Linked DNA regions of Oreochromis niloticus. The protein of the gene in region 1 interacts with the protein of each later gene in a biochemical or structural test. Links are inferred from orthologs where the notes say so. Each region holds a gene or a part of one and is shown on either strand. Other genes may lie near its edges.

Evidence for each region.
Region 2: the proteins of mylipa (region 1) and cnpy2 form a complex in vitro, tested with the Homo sapiens proteins (2 studies listed by BioGRID). The link is inferred for Oreochromis niloticus from reciprocal best matches to the Homo sapiens genes MYLIP and CNPY2.

Annotation. Positions count from the first base shown.
Region 1 is NC_031985.2:20,357,882-20,365,420, forward strand, and holds the start of mylipa (E3 ubiquitin-protein ligase MYLIP-A), read left to right. Parts: upstream 1-4,300; 5' UTR 4,301-4,453; coding exon 4,454-4,540; intron 4,541-5,690; coding exon 5,691-5,881; intron 5,882-7,539. Other genes in the region: dtnbp1b (dystrobrevin binding protein 1b), read right to left, coding at 352-1,274, 4,075-4,138. UniProt on the Homo sapiens protein: E3 ubiquitin-protein ligase that mediates ubiquitination and subsequent proteasomal degradation of myosin regulatory light chain (MRLC), LDLR, VLDLR and LRP8. Activity depends on E2 enzymes of the UBE2D family.
Region 2 is NC_031970.2:24,734,053-24,741,784, forward strand, and holds cnpy2 (protein canopy homolog 2), read left to right. Parts: upstream 1-4,699; 5' UTR 4,700-4,855; coding exon 4,856-4,976; intron 4,977-5,080; coding exon 5,081-5,196; intron 5,197-5,405; coding exon 5,406-5,603; intron 5,604-5,709; coding exon 5,710-5,806; intron 5,807-5,914; coding exon 5,915-5,958; 3' UTR 5,959-7,284; downstream 7,285-7,732. Other genes in the region: uncharacterized protein LOC100690178, read left to right, coding at 1-354. UniProt on the Homo sapiens protein: Positive regulator of neurite outgrowth by stabilizing myosin regulatory light chain (MRLC). It prevents MIR-mediated MRLC ubiquitination and its subsequent proteasomal degradation.

The DNA.
Region 1 (7,539 bases):
ATATTGGATTAAATCTCCCTTTCCTCCCATGCATGGAACCAGCCATGTGTATAATATTTTCTCAGACACCCAGAAAGGCAAAAAATAAACACTGACACTAACTGTGCAGCGCTGCGTTTCTGAAAATAGCATTTCTAATTAGTTAGCCACAGTGACTGCATTTGAATCAGCACAGTTTATATCAGCAGGCGGCGGTTTACACAGTCTTCATGCAAAAACAATCTCACTGATTATTCACTGAAATCTGGGCCATTTCTAATCAGCAGTCACACTAACTAAGATTTGAATATAATTAACCTACATGGTGCATGGTATGAAGTCCACCACATCAAAGACAACCAAACCTCTAATTTAAGAGGTCAGTCTATTAGCTGTTAGGCTTCGAGAGAGCCACACTCCCTCTGCCAGTTCCTTAGTTCTCTCTGACAACTTCCATTCTGCCCGGTAGCGTAAATCATCCCTCTCTTCTCCTGAATCAACAAGCTCAATCCTCAGGAACATTTCTTTCTCCAACATCATCGAAGCCAGCACAGAGTCTGCAGCTTGTCTGTTTCTTGGTAATCTGGGAGAGGACCGAGACACCCCTCGACGAGTGGGAGGGCCACCTTTAACCCCTCTGCTTCTGACATCGTCTTCCTTTTGCTTCACCAAAGACACATCTCTGCCATCTGAGGCAGATGTACTAGAAGAACTCTCATTGGTTGATTCTGAGGTGAGAGATGACTGTGTGTCCTCCAATTGGTCAAGATCCACTTGGTAGGCTAATTTCTTATTACTTTGTCTGCTGATGGACAGACAAGGAGGCCACCGGAGGGAGAGACATTTTGTCACCGCCAGCCATAATTCTTGAGGCCTGAATAAACCTGACCTTGGCTGATCTGTGTCACAAAAACTGTTTCTTTCCTCCATTTCTGCATGTTCTCCTTCAGAATCCGACTCCACCACCTCTCTGACGGAAACTCTGTTCGAGTTCTTTGGTGACTGTTCCTCTTCTTCACCTTCATTTTTTGACGCTACCTCCTGATCCTCCCCAAAGCTGAAAGAACTGCTGAACCTCTGGCTCCTCTTCATTGCTCTTTCTGCCTCCACATCAGACTCCGACGATGAATCTCCCTCTGACGAGCGTCCACACGGTGACGACCGATCCTTTGAGTCTTTCGACCATGGCCGATGATTCTCTTCAGACTCAGAGGAGCTGATCGCCCTCTGGCCTCTCCTCATACTTTGGTAAACAATTCCTCTCCTCCAGCTGCCCAGTACTACTCTTCCTTTGGCTTAACAGCGACAGATTGACAGAAAAAGAAGCGAAGTAGTAACAGCTATCACAACAACAACAGCAGCCGCAGCAGCTCTGCTAGCATGGCACATTCTGACATAATATCTGCTTCAACAGGCACAGCTATGCCAGTGGAGCTGGGCAGTGATGACGTTGTGATGTCATGTGCCCACATGCACACATACACACACTCTTGCACAAATCCCCTGCATGCATGCTTCAGTCGAGTGAGATGTGACTTGCCTCAAAGGGAAGTGATGTCACATTGCATGATGTCATACCTAGCCTCGAACCAGGAGTCTACAAATGGTCTGTGTTTGTGCAAGAGCGCAGATGGTGGAAGGAAAAAAAAAAATAGATGCCCTACCCTTGAAATTGACCTAGATGTGCAACATGGTAGTCGTGATAATGATTTTCCTTTCTATGCTTTATTCTTTGTGCTACAGTTGCGATGACATGCGTCGAAAATAGTTTGTCTATTTTTGTCACAGGCTACCAAAATATACATTAACTAATTGGGTAAATAAAGCATAAAATACTTAAAGTGAAAAATAAAAGAATGAATAAAATCACTGAGTTGCTCCAGATGTTTTTGCGTTTGCCATAAATATTGGTTCATTCGTCTAATTGTGTTTGTGTGCATGTGTTTACTTTATTTTGGGGTGCTGTAGGACAAAGAGAGAATTTTTGAAAGCGTAAACCAATAACAGCAACAGCAGCTGTGCTTCTGCTGGAGCTCTGTGTGTTGTAGCAGTAGTAGAGTATGTGTTTGGCAGTCTGCTCAGTGAGTCCCAGACTAACAGCGAATGGTAGGTCACTGGCTATATGCTTGCTTTTCCATTTATGGTCCGGGTGGCTGCTCAGACGTCACGTCTCTCTGCTCATTCACTGCACACTTTCTTGCATCACCTCGGGGCAAAAGGACATTGCCTACTCCAAGCTGGCTGACATTCTCACACACAGAAAGACACACATACATGTTACATCAGATAAAATCTGTTGAGTCGACGTTTGAATATAGGCAGCGATGTGTCGTTGAAGGGAAGAGAAATTGATAATGCCTGAAATGAGAATAATAACATTTCTCATACTGATTTTATCTGATGTGATCAAAAATAAAAACCTAGTATTTCTAGTCTGGACTACTGTGATTCATTATTATTGGATCGCTCTAAAAGCTCCCAGAAAAGACTTCAGTTGATCCACAATCCTGCAGCTAGAGTACTGACAGGGATTAGAAAAAGAGCACATATTTCTTCCATATTGGCTTCTTCTGATAAATCCCTGTTAAATTTAAAATTCAATTTAATATCTTTCTCCCAAAATCGTGAATAATCAGGCCATGTCATATCTTAAAGACCTCTTAGTACCTATCCTAACAGAGCACTTTGTTGTCAGACTTGTGGATTACTTGTGTTTCCTAGGGTATTTAAAAGTAGAATGGGACCCAGAGCCTTCAGCTTTCAGGCCCCTCTTCTGTGGAACCAGCTCCCAGTTTGGATTTGGGAAAGAAACACACCCTCTACTTTTAAGATTAAACTGTTAAAAAACTTTATTTTTTGATAAAGTTTATAGTCAGGGCTGGATCAGGTGACCCATTAATCCTCTCTACTGCGTAAAGTCTAGGCTGAAGGGGTCTTCCCATGATGCACTAAGTGTTTCTTCTTCACTCACCTCTTTTCACTCTCTATGTGTTTACACACCTCTCTGCATTTAATCATTAGTTACTATTAATCTCTGACCCTCTTCCACAGCGTGTCTTTTGTCCCATCATCCTCTCCTCACTCCCTGTCGCAACAGATGGTTGCCATTCCCTGAGCCTGGCTCTGCCTGAGGTTTCTCCTCGTTAAAAGGGAGTTTTTCCTTCCCACTGTCGCATACCTGTTTACTCTGTTTGTGTTTTTGGAGCGCGAATAAAAATTTATGGTGCTACCCAGATTGGCAAAATCTATCCGGAACCCGAGTTTGGGTGAAATCACTTTCCTCGTGTCGCAAGGATTTTCATGGTTTAAATAAATGAAACCTGGATCCTCAGGTAAGATTTAAATGTGATAAATCGGAAGCTAGTACAGACAAAAACACGGCTGCCAGGAAATTACTTCATTTGAAGAAAAGTGTCAGTGCTTTTTGGCATTCAAAAAGTGATCCAAATAAAAGGGCCACGGAACACATTATACATCTTTAAATGTGCAGTATGTAAAGCTGAATCTTATTTTCACATCCCTTCCAAGTAAGTGCTTTAATACAATATCTGAATGATGAAGTGAGTGTTTTTAGGACTCAGCGAGGCAGTAATGCAGTGGCCAGGGAGTAGAAAAACATAGAGAGGCACACTGCATCTACTCTAAAATGTCCGCTGGCAGACAAACTCAGAGCTTGGCTGAATACTATGCCTCCATAGTTTAAGTGTGGCTGCAGCTTTCTGCAGTGTCTTATCTGGCATCACTACACACTGATGCTGAATAATATATCATGAAATAGCAAGATGTGAAGAAATGATGAGGTAGAGCAGGCTGAATTATTAAGTCTCTCTTAGCCGTTTTATCTTGACCTTTCCCCCACCTTGACACACTATAATCAAACAGTTTCACGTTCTCCAACACTCAAACGCAGCAGCGTTATGGAAAAGTTGAAGTTGCTAATATATATTAAAAAAAAATCACAAAAAGCTTTGGATGGAAAACAGCAAACCAGCGAAGCTGAATGCGCTCCAGTTATGGGAGTTATTTCTGGACTGCTTCCACATACATTATTCACACGAAACGAAGGGTTGACGGTACACAAGCCATTAAACTCACCCGGAGATCCGCACGAGCTCGCTGAAACATCACAGCCACGAGGACAAGGTGAGTTCAGGTGCATGCAACAGGCGAGCCAGGTGAGGGCGCAGTGGACTCCTCGCAGTTCAAGGCACGGGAGGCGAGCTCGAGCCCGAGCGGTGTGCGGATGATACGCCACTTCTCATTGGCTCAGAGTGTCAAATAGGCGGTGCTGTGCGCGGCGTTTCATTGATATACCCTACAGCTGGTGGCCGCGAACACCAAACGGAGTGAAAGGGCTAAGAAAGTGATGACGGCTTGATGTAGAGGGGTTGTTGTTTTTTAAGCGAAGGCTCGAGAGTTGGTTGATTGTTTTAAAGAGTGGCACACCAAAGATTTCCAGAAACAAACAGCCAAAATGCTCTGCCACGTTACTCGTCCGGATTCGGTGGTGATGGAAGTGGAAGTTGATGCGAAGGCGAACGGTGAAGATTGCCTCAACAAGGTAAAGACGGACAGCACGTTTTATTCTTCTTTGTGTCTTCATGTGAGAATAACACGTCGCCGTATGTGCGTCGGTGAGGCAGCACGGCTCGGGTTGTCAGAAAAATATTTTCTTATGTTTCTGTCAACTTCACCTCTAATGTGTCGCATTCATTTATGAGTCGACTAAATGTGGTGAATAAGACCGAAGAGCCAAGTTTCTGCACGATTAGAAGATTTTATTTGTTTTTATTTCTTTAATTAATTAATTCGCCACAGCTTCAGTGAGCTTCAGCTTTAAGCTACAACAAAACTGTCACCTGCTTTGTTGCTTGTAGCAAACAAGGACTGAGGAAACAATGTTCTGAGCGCCAAGTGCAGAAAAAAGGTCAACTTTTTCTTCTTTCGTGTTTTTCTTTTCTTTCTTTCTTTCTTTTTTAAATAATACAAACCCTCTAAAGTGTCACTTCTGTCAAAAAGCCACGGGGCTGAAACACGTAGAGAAAAGTTTTGTTAGGTTGCTGGGAAGCTGCCGACTGCCACTTCAGGCTCCTTCGCTTAGTCAGAGGCAGATGGCTTTGTGCAGGTTACTCCAGGTCATCCTGCCGCCTCTCAAGATGAAACTTAGCTTTTCACATCTCTACCCACCACCACCCCCAACTCAACATGGACACAGTAGTAACTGTTATTTCCTTTGATTGCCATTTCCCCTCCTCATTATGATGTTAATCTATTTAATATGCACAGAACGAGTTTTATCTCAGCCTCCTGGCTCCCTGTGCAGACTTTCAGCAGCAGTTATGTAATAAACCCATGGTTGCTGCCGCCGGAGGAGCGTGGGATTGCGGGCTTGATGAGCCCCTGTACCCCGGGAGGGGCTCCAAGTTCACTTCGTGAGCTTCAGAATATTGATGGGGGTTTGTGTGTCGGAGTATCTGCAGTAACAGCAGTACTGGTGAATTTCCTTGTAAAAATAATAATAAAAAAAAAGTCCAGTGGGACTTTACTCAGTTGGTTCTCGTCACTTTCCACATGACAAGAAAAGTTATTGATTGCCTCTTTAAAGGAGCTCTTCACCAGCTGTCGCTGTCCTGTGGTGAAAAGCTTCACGTCTCACTTCGTGTGTGTGTTTTTTGTGACACCCCCCCCCTGCTTGTTTCGTCTTTCTTCAGGTTTGCAGAAAGTTGGGCATAATCGAAGTAGACTACTTTGGGCTGCAGTTCACAGGCAGCAAAGGAGAAAACCTGTGGCTGAATCTGAGGAACCGCATCAGCCAGCAGATGGATAATTTGACACCCTGTCGGCTCAGGCTGCGGGTCAAGTTCTTCGTGGAGCCCCATCTGATTCTGCAGGAGCAGACGAGGTACTTTGAAAGCTCGCACGCTGTAAAGACACCGTGCGCAAGGAAATTTGCTCATAGGCCTTAGAACAGCTATAACTGTGAACTACTTCCTCTTATTGTTTTGAGTGTGTAAATGTGTTCGTCATCTCCTCTAAAACGGGTCAAAGAAATAACATCTTATTTTTTTTTTCATGTACATGACTTTAATGAGGCGCACGTGTTTGGGGAAACAAAACAAAGCCACCATTGGCGAGTTCCCAGAGCATAATCTGATCACTGTTTCCAACAAAGCGAAAATGCCCTATAGTAACCTCTTCCCCAAGCCCTTCCGGGGTTACTATAGGTCATTCTGGTGAAGCGCCAGGGAGGAAATATGATCCAGCAGCTCTGGTGCTGTGTGCTGCTCTGAGCCTACCCCCAGGGACCCTCTGTGTGACAGCCAGGACCTCTCGTCACTGCTCCCATTCAACTCTAAATATCTTTTTGTTTCGATTGTCCATGGCCGTTTTTTGCGTGAACAAAAGCCCTCCCGTTTTCTGTTTTTTCTGCAGATGCAGTTTGGGGGAAAAGCTTGTGTAAGGAGTGCTTTCCCTTGCGAGAATATGCCGTCAATTAGAAACACGGTTGCAGCTGAAGTTTTGGATAACTGTTGTTCACTTTCTGTGCTTTATTGGTCATTAGACAATGGCAAGCAAAGCTGCTGCTACAGTGAGTTGACATGTAGTTTTAACATGTGCCCTTCTCTGCCAAACTAGTTTAAAAAAACAAGTAACGATCCCAGGCATGTCTGAATGGGTAGTCCCCTGCCCACAGACTGTGAAGTTATAAATGGAAAGTGAATTTTCAGCCCTTGAAACGAGTCCCAAAAACTTGTTTTGAACACTAGTGTGATGGAGTCGATGTTATGTTCACCCTGGGCGACGTGATGAGTGTTTGATACCACGGATATGAATCAAGGAAGCACTTGAACTGCAGCATTCCACTAGAACTATTTATTAAGCTAAACTGTCCCTGTTGTTCCCTGGTTCGCCTACTGCTCCGACTCTCTCTTCCTTCTCCCTTCACCCTGCTCTATCCAATGTAAAAAGAGGGCAATTCTACGGTTTCTTTATTTGCTGCTGTTGGGTGATTAAACTGTGCCCACTCCCATTTCCTCTCTGTCTGGCTCTTCTCCCTCCACCTTCATATTCCACTCCACTGTAGCCCATATTTGGCAACCTTTTGAAGAGGAAAGTGAAAGGACAGTCAGGGGGGCTAAGGGCACGGAGGACACTTGGCTGCCTGCGCTCTGACCTCCAGTAGATTAGCAGGAGTTATCAGCAGATGGCTGGTGTTTGCTCAAGACTTTGGGGGGGGGGGGTGAAAAGAAGTGAGATAAAGATTTTAAATTGCAGGTAAGGTCAGGTGGGTCGCTGCTAATAAATACTCGCACATGTCACACTCCACCACGCTGTGAGGTTAGGTGTTTAATTTCGGCTCAGCCTTCATGCCAGCCGTCTGCTCAGATGTGATATAATATGAGGGGTGAGCGTGCAAACGCTGGCATCAGTTTTTAGAGATAAGGCCAAGCTGTTGAAGTTAAAGCAGCAGCATTTTGAGGACAATCACACGTGGCTCAGAAAATCCTTTTAGTGCATTTAGAGTCGTGGCATTTCTTTCAAAGACTCGCATCATTTTTT
Region 2 (7,732 bases), on another chromosome or scaffold:
AGAGCCTCAGATAAGGCCATAACAGCTGAATGTGGAGTACTGCGACATTTACAACCAGGTGACATGGTCATTGCAGATAAAGACTTCACAATTCAGGACATCCTCCCAGAGGGGGTCTCTCTGAACACCCCGTCTTTCCACGTCAGCGGACAGTTCACACAGCAGGAAGTGAACAATAACAGGCTGATCTCCTGTGCAAGAGCACATGTAGCGCATTCAATTCAAAGACTGAAACGTTTCTCAATTTTGGATCTCGTCCCACATCACTACAGAAAAAATATTAATAAGATACTGAAAGTATGTGTGTGTCTTACAAATTTACAAACTCCTGTTATCCATGAATTAGACCAGTGAAAGTGCAGAGGCAAAATTACATGGTGTCACTGTCGAAATACTTGTGGACCCGACAGTACAACTGTTGAATACGTTTATTTTTATTGTTTGTACCTTTTAAGTGTTCTGGAATGTTTTGTGTATATAGTCAGGAAGTTACATCATTAAAAAAACCAACAACTTAGTTGCATAGTTTCAAGTTGAGAATTTTCAGTTGTAATTGGTAAAATGTTTAATTGTACTCTAATTGGGGTTTTTTCATCAATGGTTTGTTATATTGCTCATTTCATTCCAGCCTCCTGATTACTGCTTACTTGTTTTGCCGATAATTTTCATTAAAAATAGGGACTACAAGATAAATGTGTTACTCTTTGTTTTCTGAACAGTTTTTGCCCAAAGCATTTTCTTGGTAAAATCAAAACTTAATTTTAAGAATTTATCTGAATATATTTACAAATTCATAGCTGCGATAGACTGTTGGGTAAAAGAACATTTCCAAAGTTTCAATGTTAACAGCCCAAGTTTGTTCTCTATCAACAGGCAAGATTACAAAGTCACATGGAGTCCAAACAATAAAGTGACAGCTGTTGGTCCCTGTGAGATGTAGGTTCCTCTGTAGTTGTGATGCTTTTTTAATACCAGGGAATCACTTGCCTCATCCAGTTGTAGGAAAAAGTCCTTCCTTTCTGCAGCCTGCAAGACAGTTTTGGTTCTGGCTGACCATGGGCATTTCACCTCAATGATGGAGTCATCAGAGACTGTCTCATCTGGAGAACTGCCAAGCAGGCCACTGTTGGATAAAAACAGTCCCCTCTCCTCAACAACTGCACCAGTACAGTCAGTGTACAGCTGCCTTTGGGGATGAGAATATCACTTAGTTATAAATGCATTCTTAGAAGCACAGACCCGTTTTTACTAACAACTTACTGTTAGGTTGTACTGGCCAAGAGTCTTAAATAAGGAAGGAGGGTATGAGCTCTGCTGGACTGTACCCAGGACCAAACCTAAGTTGCTGGCTATGATTCTCTTCTTGTGATATGCTGCCCTTTTATTAAGAAAAACAAATTAAGAGAGACGGTTCACTCAAACTTCTTGCTTAACACCTAACAGAATTAATTTCAAGGCACCTTTTTTAATTTTTTTTTTTTTATCACAATACATTCTTTGTTTGCCCAACTGTTGCTTCCTCAACCTGTTTCTTCTCTTCCGCAGTCACAGTCAGTTATGCCAGTACATAGCAAGCCTTGTCTTCTGCTTGGGCAAAACTGAGGTTCCTCAGCAATCCATCAAATGTCTTGGCTGGTAAAGTCTAGATTTAAAGCAAAAGGAAAAACAAATACAATGTGAAAAGGTTTTAATGGGACCAAGAATGTTTGAGCACAGAGTAGAAAAAGTAGAGTATAGAATATACAAAATACATATAAAATTAAAGTGGGGATAGTGAAGACAGTCTGATGTCTGTAGTTTACAAGAGTTCACATACACGTATAATTCATTCCATGTATTAAGGTAAATATCAAATTACCCGAGGCCCTTCTGGACTCAAAATCAACCTCATCCCAGTAAAACGCCCATGTTTTGATAGAGATGCCAGTGCCCATTCTTTGTCCTCCTGGGTGACAGGTCTTTTCATTCCAGCTGAAAAAATAAAACAAAAAATATTTCTTAGTAATCGAAATAAGTAGTAATCTAAACAAGTAATAATTTCAAGGTCAGATGCTATACCCAGGATTTATTTAGGACTATTCACTTCAAGACTGTTCACTTAAATGACATTTTTTGATGACGACTACGTGTGTGTCTCAATATAAAGCACAATGCTTTACATAAAATTAAGAAAACAATTAGAACAAAGAGAGAATTTTAAATAATGACTGACCTTGTGCAGTTGATGGTGTCATCTCAGACACTCTTGGCAGCAATTTCTTTTGCTTTCACACACGTTCCATGTCAGTGTGAGACACATTCTTCTCCACCTAAATCAACATTGGCACTTATCTTTGCCAATCAGACACTCACTGGAGCTGAATCTCACTGACTGACCCTCAACATGCACCCGTATTGAAAGCAAATTAATGCTTACCCCACACATTATAACAAACACCGGCAGTGCTGCTGTGTGTACCGGTACCACTGTAGCTAGCCAATGGGCAGGAAGATAATCTCAACTTGGCTAACATAACTAACTCTCCAAAATCTCCCTGTTTTGTAGATTTCCATCTTGGTTTACTTCCACTGTTATAGCAGTGCTGTATGCATGTGTGTTTTATGAACTACATCAGCCAGTACAGAACATATCATGTTTAATCATCAGCTAGCTAGCTTACCCCTAAGCCTTCTTTTTACTGCCTAATAATACCACCTGGGAGAATAGATACACTGACCACTTTATTAGAGTTGAAAGAATTAAGGCCCTTTTAACCCTAATTGGTGCCTTGCTAAAGAAGGAGGTAATTGTAAACAAAGTTACTGGTTCTGCCATCGTTGTTTATTCTAGAGATGGCACGATACCACTTTTTTATGTCCGATACCGATATCATAAATTTGGATATCTGCCGATACCGATATGAATCCGATATGGTGTATTTTATAATCAATGAAACACTTTTTTAAATATCTTGCTGCATTTTGTATAAGTTCATACTCAAGTTTAAAAAACAAACAAAAAAACACTAAAACTATTCTGTTATACCTGTATGTAAAAAATACACTGCACCCAAAATTTTTCATAGTTCAAGAATACTGATCAATCTAATAAACTTAAACCTACACCATCCTCCCTATTCTGGTATTTTAAAGAGTACTTAGCAGAAATATTAAACAACCTTACTAATAGGGTTGCCAACTCCCAGCAAAAAAAAAAAAAGGGAACCACCCCCTGCCCTCGGCCTCGTGATGTTTAATTGACATAATCAAATTTAATTTAATGCATGTGTAAAAAAAATGCACAGAAATCAATTATTTTTCTACAATAATTAAACAGAATTGCAGACTGCAGAGATGGTACCTTCCCAAAGGAAAAAGTACTATAGCTTACTACGGTATATATTACACTTAGTAGTTACTATTGACAGTAATGGACTTCTATACATTTTACATCAGATTAAAACTGGGTGTAAGATTCAGATAATTTTTTTATTAAGCTAGACTTTTTAAATGAGAATAAGAAAGAAAAGTATTTCTTTGTGCCCCCCTTTCCCTGTTAATGCCCTACCGCCCCCCTGGCAAAACTTTGCTAGACCCGCCCCTGCACAGTTACCAGCCGTCAGCTACGTAGAAAAAGATCCTGGTGTAGAAAGTAATATTAAATAAATTCTAACAACAGCTTATCAAGCTTAAACGCGCTGCTGTTGTTCAGCCGCTGGTTTCCTCTTTCTGGTGCAAAGTGGGCCATGATCAACTGATCATTGATCAGTTTCATGATTGAAGTAGCAACAGGAGAGGGAGGGAGAGAGAAGAGGCAGTCGCTCCATATATCGGTTGTTAAGCTTAACGCGGGAATGCTTCACAAACATTCAGAGATGAACTTACACACTTGCTTTACTTCTCTCTGGGATAACGTTCTTGGAGATGAAATGCCGGTTTGGTAGCGAGGTTCCAACTGCTCAACCAGACTGCCGAGAGGTCTCGCACGCCACAGCCGCTTTATCACGTGACGCATACTGTTCCGACGTGCTAAGGTTATGAGCTGAGTTACGCCATGTCGCAAGTTTTTGGAGGTGCTTTTGTGATATTTAATGGATCGGATTACATTTTTTATTTCTCTCTGATATCTGATCCAGTAATTTAGGTCAGTATCGGACTGATACCGATATGTAATATCGGATCGGTCCATCTCTAGTTTATTCAAGAGCATTTGGACCCGGAAATGTCAGCTACGTCACCCGTAACATCGAACTTAACAACCAGATTGTAACCAGTAAAAAATAGGAATTTTACTGGGTTTTAATTGTTATTGTTTATCTATTAATTAAATACTTTGGCATCATATGTATGGCATTGATGGAAGTCTTAACAGCAGGACACGCTGTAAAACTTATGAAAACACAATTAAATGTCAAAAATATAACACTTCCTTCAAAAACTGCAAAAAACCTTCAGTGGGCCGGATAGGAGTCTGCCGGGCCGATTTTGGGCCCCGGGCCTTATGTTTGACACTCTTGGTCCAACACAAATGACCCTGGCTGCAGAGTAGAGCGCCAGCTGGGATCTTCCCGCCCACGTGGGGGCGCTGCACGAGCTGTCTCCCGCTCCACGTACCCCCGGCAGCAGCCCGGTTGCTACGTCACCACATTTCACCGAATACGATGCAACAGCGTGGAAAAGCGTAAAGGTGTTCTCCTGGCGGCCCACAGACACAGTAAGTTGAATGAAAAGTGGAATAAAGTGCATCTCTGTGTCAGTATTAGTAACCCGGCTGCTGAGCTACAGAGGGTTTTTGTAGCAAACGGTGACTGAGAGCCTTCCGGCCGACTTACTTGAATGTTTTTTTTGCTTATTTGTTTTCCTGTGTGATGCTGAAATGTGCGCGTTTAGAGGCAAAATGAGGGAAGCTGCTCTCCTGCTCACACACTGCCTGCTTGCGTGTCTCCTCCTGAGCTCCAGCCAGGCGGCCAGACAAGGACAGGACCTCAGATGTGGAGGTGAGTAACCGGTTTGACGCGGAGCCTCGGCCGCACGCACAAAGAAAAGTCCTTATCTAATCGGTGTCTGACTTCTGCACCCACACTCCACCTCCCCTCCTCAGCCTGCAGGGCTCTGGTAGACGAGATGGAGTGGGCCATCTCCCAGATAGACCCCAAGAAAATGATCCAGACGGGATCTTTCAGGATCAATCCAGATGGGAGTCAGTCCATCAGAGAGGTGAGGCTGCAGTAGCAGAGCCACGTTGTAGTCTGGGTTCAGCCCCCACTGTAGACTACATCATAAGTACACAGTGTTGACCACAAAACAGGGCCAAACTTTTATAGAAAGCATCGCCTGCCTCTGAAGGCCATCATCTCATTTTAAAGATATCAGTTAGTTTCAGTGGGTTGGCAATAAAAATAACTTCTGAACTCTGACACCACCAGGTTCCTCTGGCACGCTCAGAAGGAAACCTCCTGGAGATGATGGAGAGCATATGCGAGAGGATGGGGGACTACGGCGAGCGCACGGATCCCTCCACAAACAGGAAGTCGTACGTCAGGATCAAGTCTCGGAGCGGCGAGGCCATGGACCTGTCAGACGCCTCGCTGGATTCAAGGGTTACAGCCAGCTTGAAGTTCGCAGTGAGTATAGTTTTTCCCACTTAGACCTCCAGCACAACCCAAGGAAATGCACAGAAAAACAGACAAAGGGTGTGGTTTAAGTGTGTATTTTTCCTTTGTTGTTCAGTGTGAAACAATAGTGGAACAGCACGAGGATGAAATCATCGAATTCTTCGCTCATGAAACGGACAACGTTAAAGACAAACTGTGCAGCAAAAGGACAGGTAGGTTGAGACCAAATGCATCAACCTGCAAACATTTCTTTCTGTTCTGATGTTCCCCATGCGCTCAGCTGTTAATTCACTGTGTTTTCTGTGCTGTGTGTCCCGCAGACCTCTGTGACCACGCTCTAAAAATGACCCACGATGAGCTTTGATGTCCTCTCGTCGTAGCGACCGTCTCTCATCAGCTCAAATGGAGACTTCTGGGTGCTGTAGTGTTTTCAGTTGCCACTTATCACCTGTTTGTGTCAGGGCAGTGGGACAAGCTGTCTAAAAATCCTTGTGATAAGAAATAAAAAACAAAAAGCATTACTCCTGTGATCATGGAGACTGTGAGGACCACTCTGCTACTCTTTTTTTTCTTTTTTGGGGTTAATATCTCATTTTATGTGATACTGTAAGTTATTAAAAAGGCTCTTATTGGTCTTCTCTGGATAAAAACTGTGAAGCTGTAAAAATGAATTTGGACTTTATGTGGAGATATGACTAAATTTGGCTGGGTGGTCCTCAAGCACTCATTCACGCATGATGGAAAAACTCTCCTGAAGTTGAATCAAAGTGAGGCTGAAAGAAGTTGGCCTGCTCTTAAATTAAACTGCTATATAATGATAAGTGTCACTTTCAAGTTCAAGCTTTAGAAGAGTTTTTCATGCTCATCAGTATTTATTTAACTGTCCATGATCACAGGATTAACCGATACCAGTTTGATTCTCCTTCTTTAATTCCTCCATGAGATACTCGTTCAGGTAAAACGAAAAGTTAAGGGCCATGATTTTAAAAGTACATCATGTAAAAGTAACTTCAGATACGGTTTCACTGTAGTTCGAGCGATAACGTGGCTTCATCACCAAACAAACATTTCCCAGGTAGTTTACCCCGTCCAACAGCAGCGTGCTCTCAGCAGTATGTTTTATTTCTCCTAAATTAATTTGGCTAAAAGACTCAGTGTGGTTAATCTGTTGGATTATTACAAGAAATGTCTTCAGGTGTTGAAGTACACAACATTTGCACAATTAGTATCCACATTGGCTTCCTGTGCATTAATTTACTGCTTAACCGCCAGTGACTTTAAAACACTCCTACTGCTAAATAAACTGCCTGCATCTTCTCAAGTTAAAACCTCTCACATGCTGCTGACAGAGCAGAACGATTATCCTCACATGCTCGTCCACACGAAACTTCTTTGCTCATTGTTTCACATTACCTCGGAGTTAAACACTACCGAAACCAGCTGTGATTTACTTGAGCTCGAGAATTGAGATGGTAGCAAAGTTTAGATTTCCTGGCTTTGTAATAAAACTGACCTCCTGCATAACCCCACTAGAGTGTGCTGTAGGCAGCAGTGTAAGTACACCAGTGCTGTACAGCCACAGTAGAAAGATCAGGAAGTATTTTTGGTGTCATTGTGTGAAAATGAATTTTTCGTTTTGTGATCATTCTCCTCAGATGTCTTTTTAATATAAAATTTGTACATTTTCTGACTCTGTCTTGTCTTCAGTGAATGGAAATTTTTTTTTTTTTTTTTTTTTACCACATCAGCACTACTCGATCCTTTCAACATCAGCTTTGTTTCAAGGATGATCTTATCCTTAATTTTCCCTTGAATTTTGATGATAATCATCTGTTTGACTGCATATAACCCACATACAGTTTGAGCTTAAATAGTGTTGAAATTTGGGAACACACAATAACCATGAAAGCAGTTCCTGAACTATTTGTCTTTTTTTTTTTTTTTAAACAGTTATTATTATTTAAAGTTTTAATACCTATAATTAAAACACACACAGACACACTAGATTCTAACTACATCAGAGATTTGTGTCTCCTCCCAGGATCAGCACTTGTTAGGCATGTATGTAAACCATTACACTAATATGTAAAAAGAGTATTTAGGGATTAGTGGTTAAAAACGGCTCCGGTTAGTAGCCT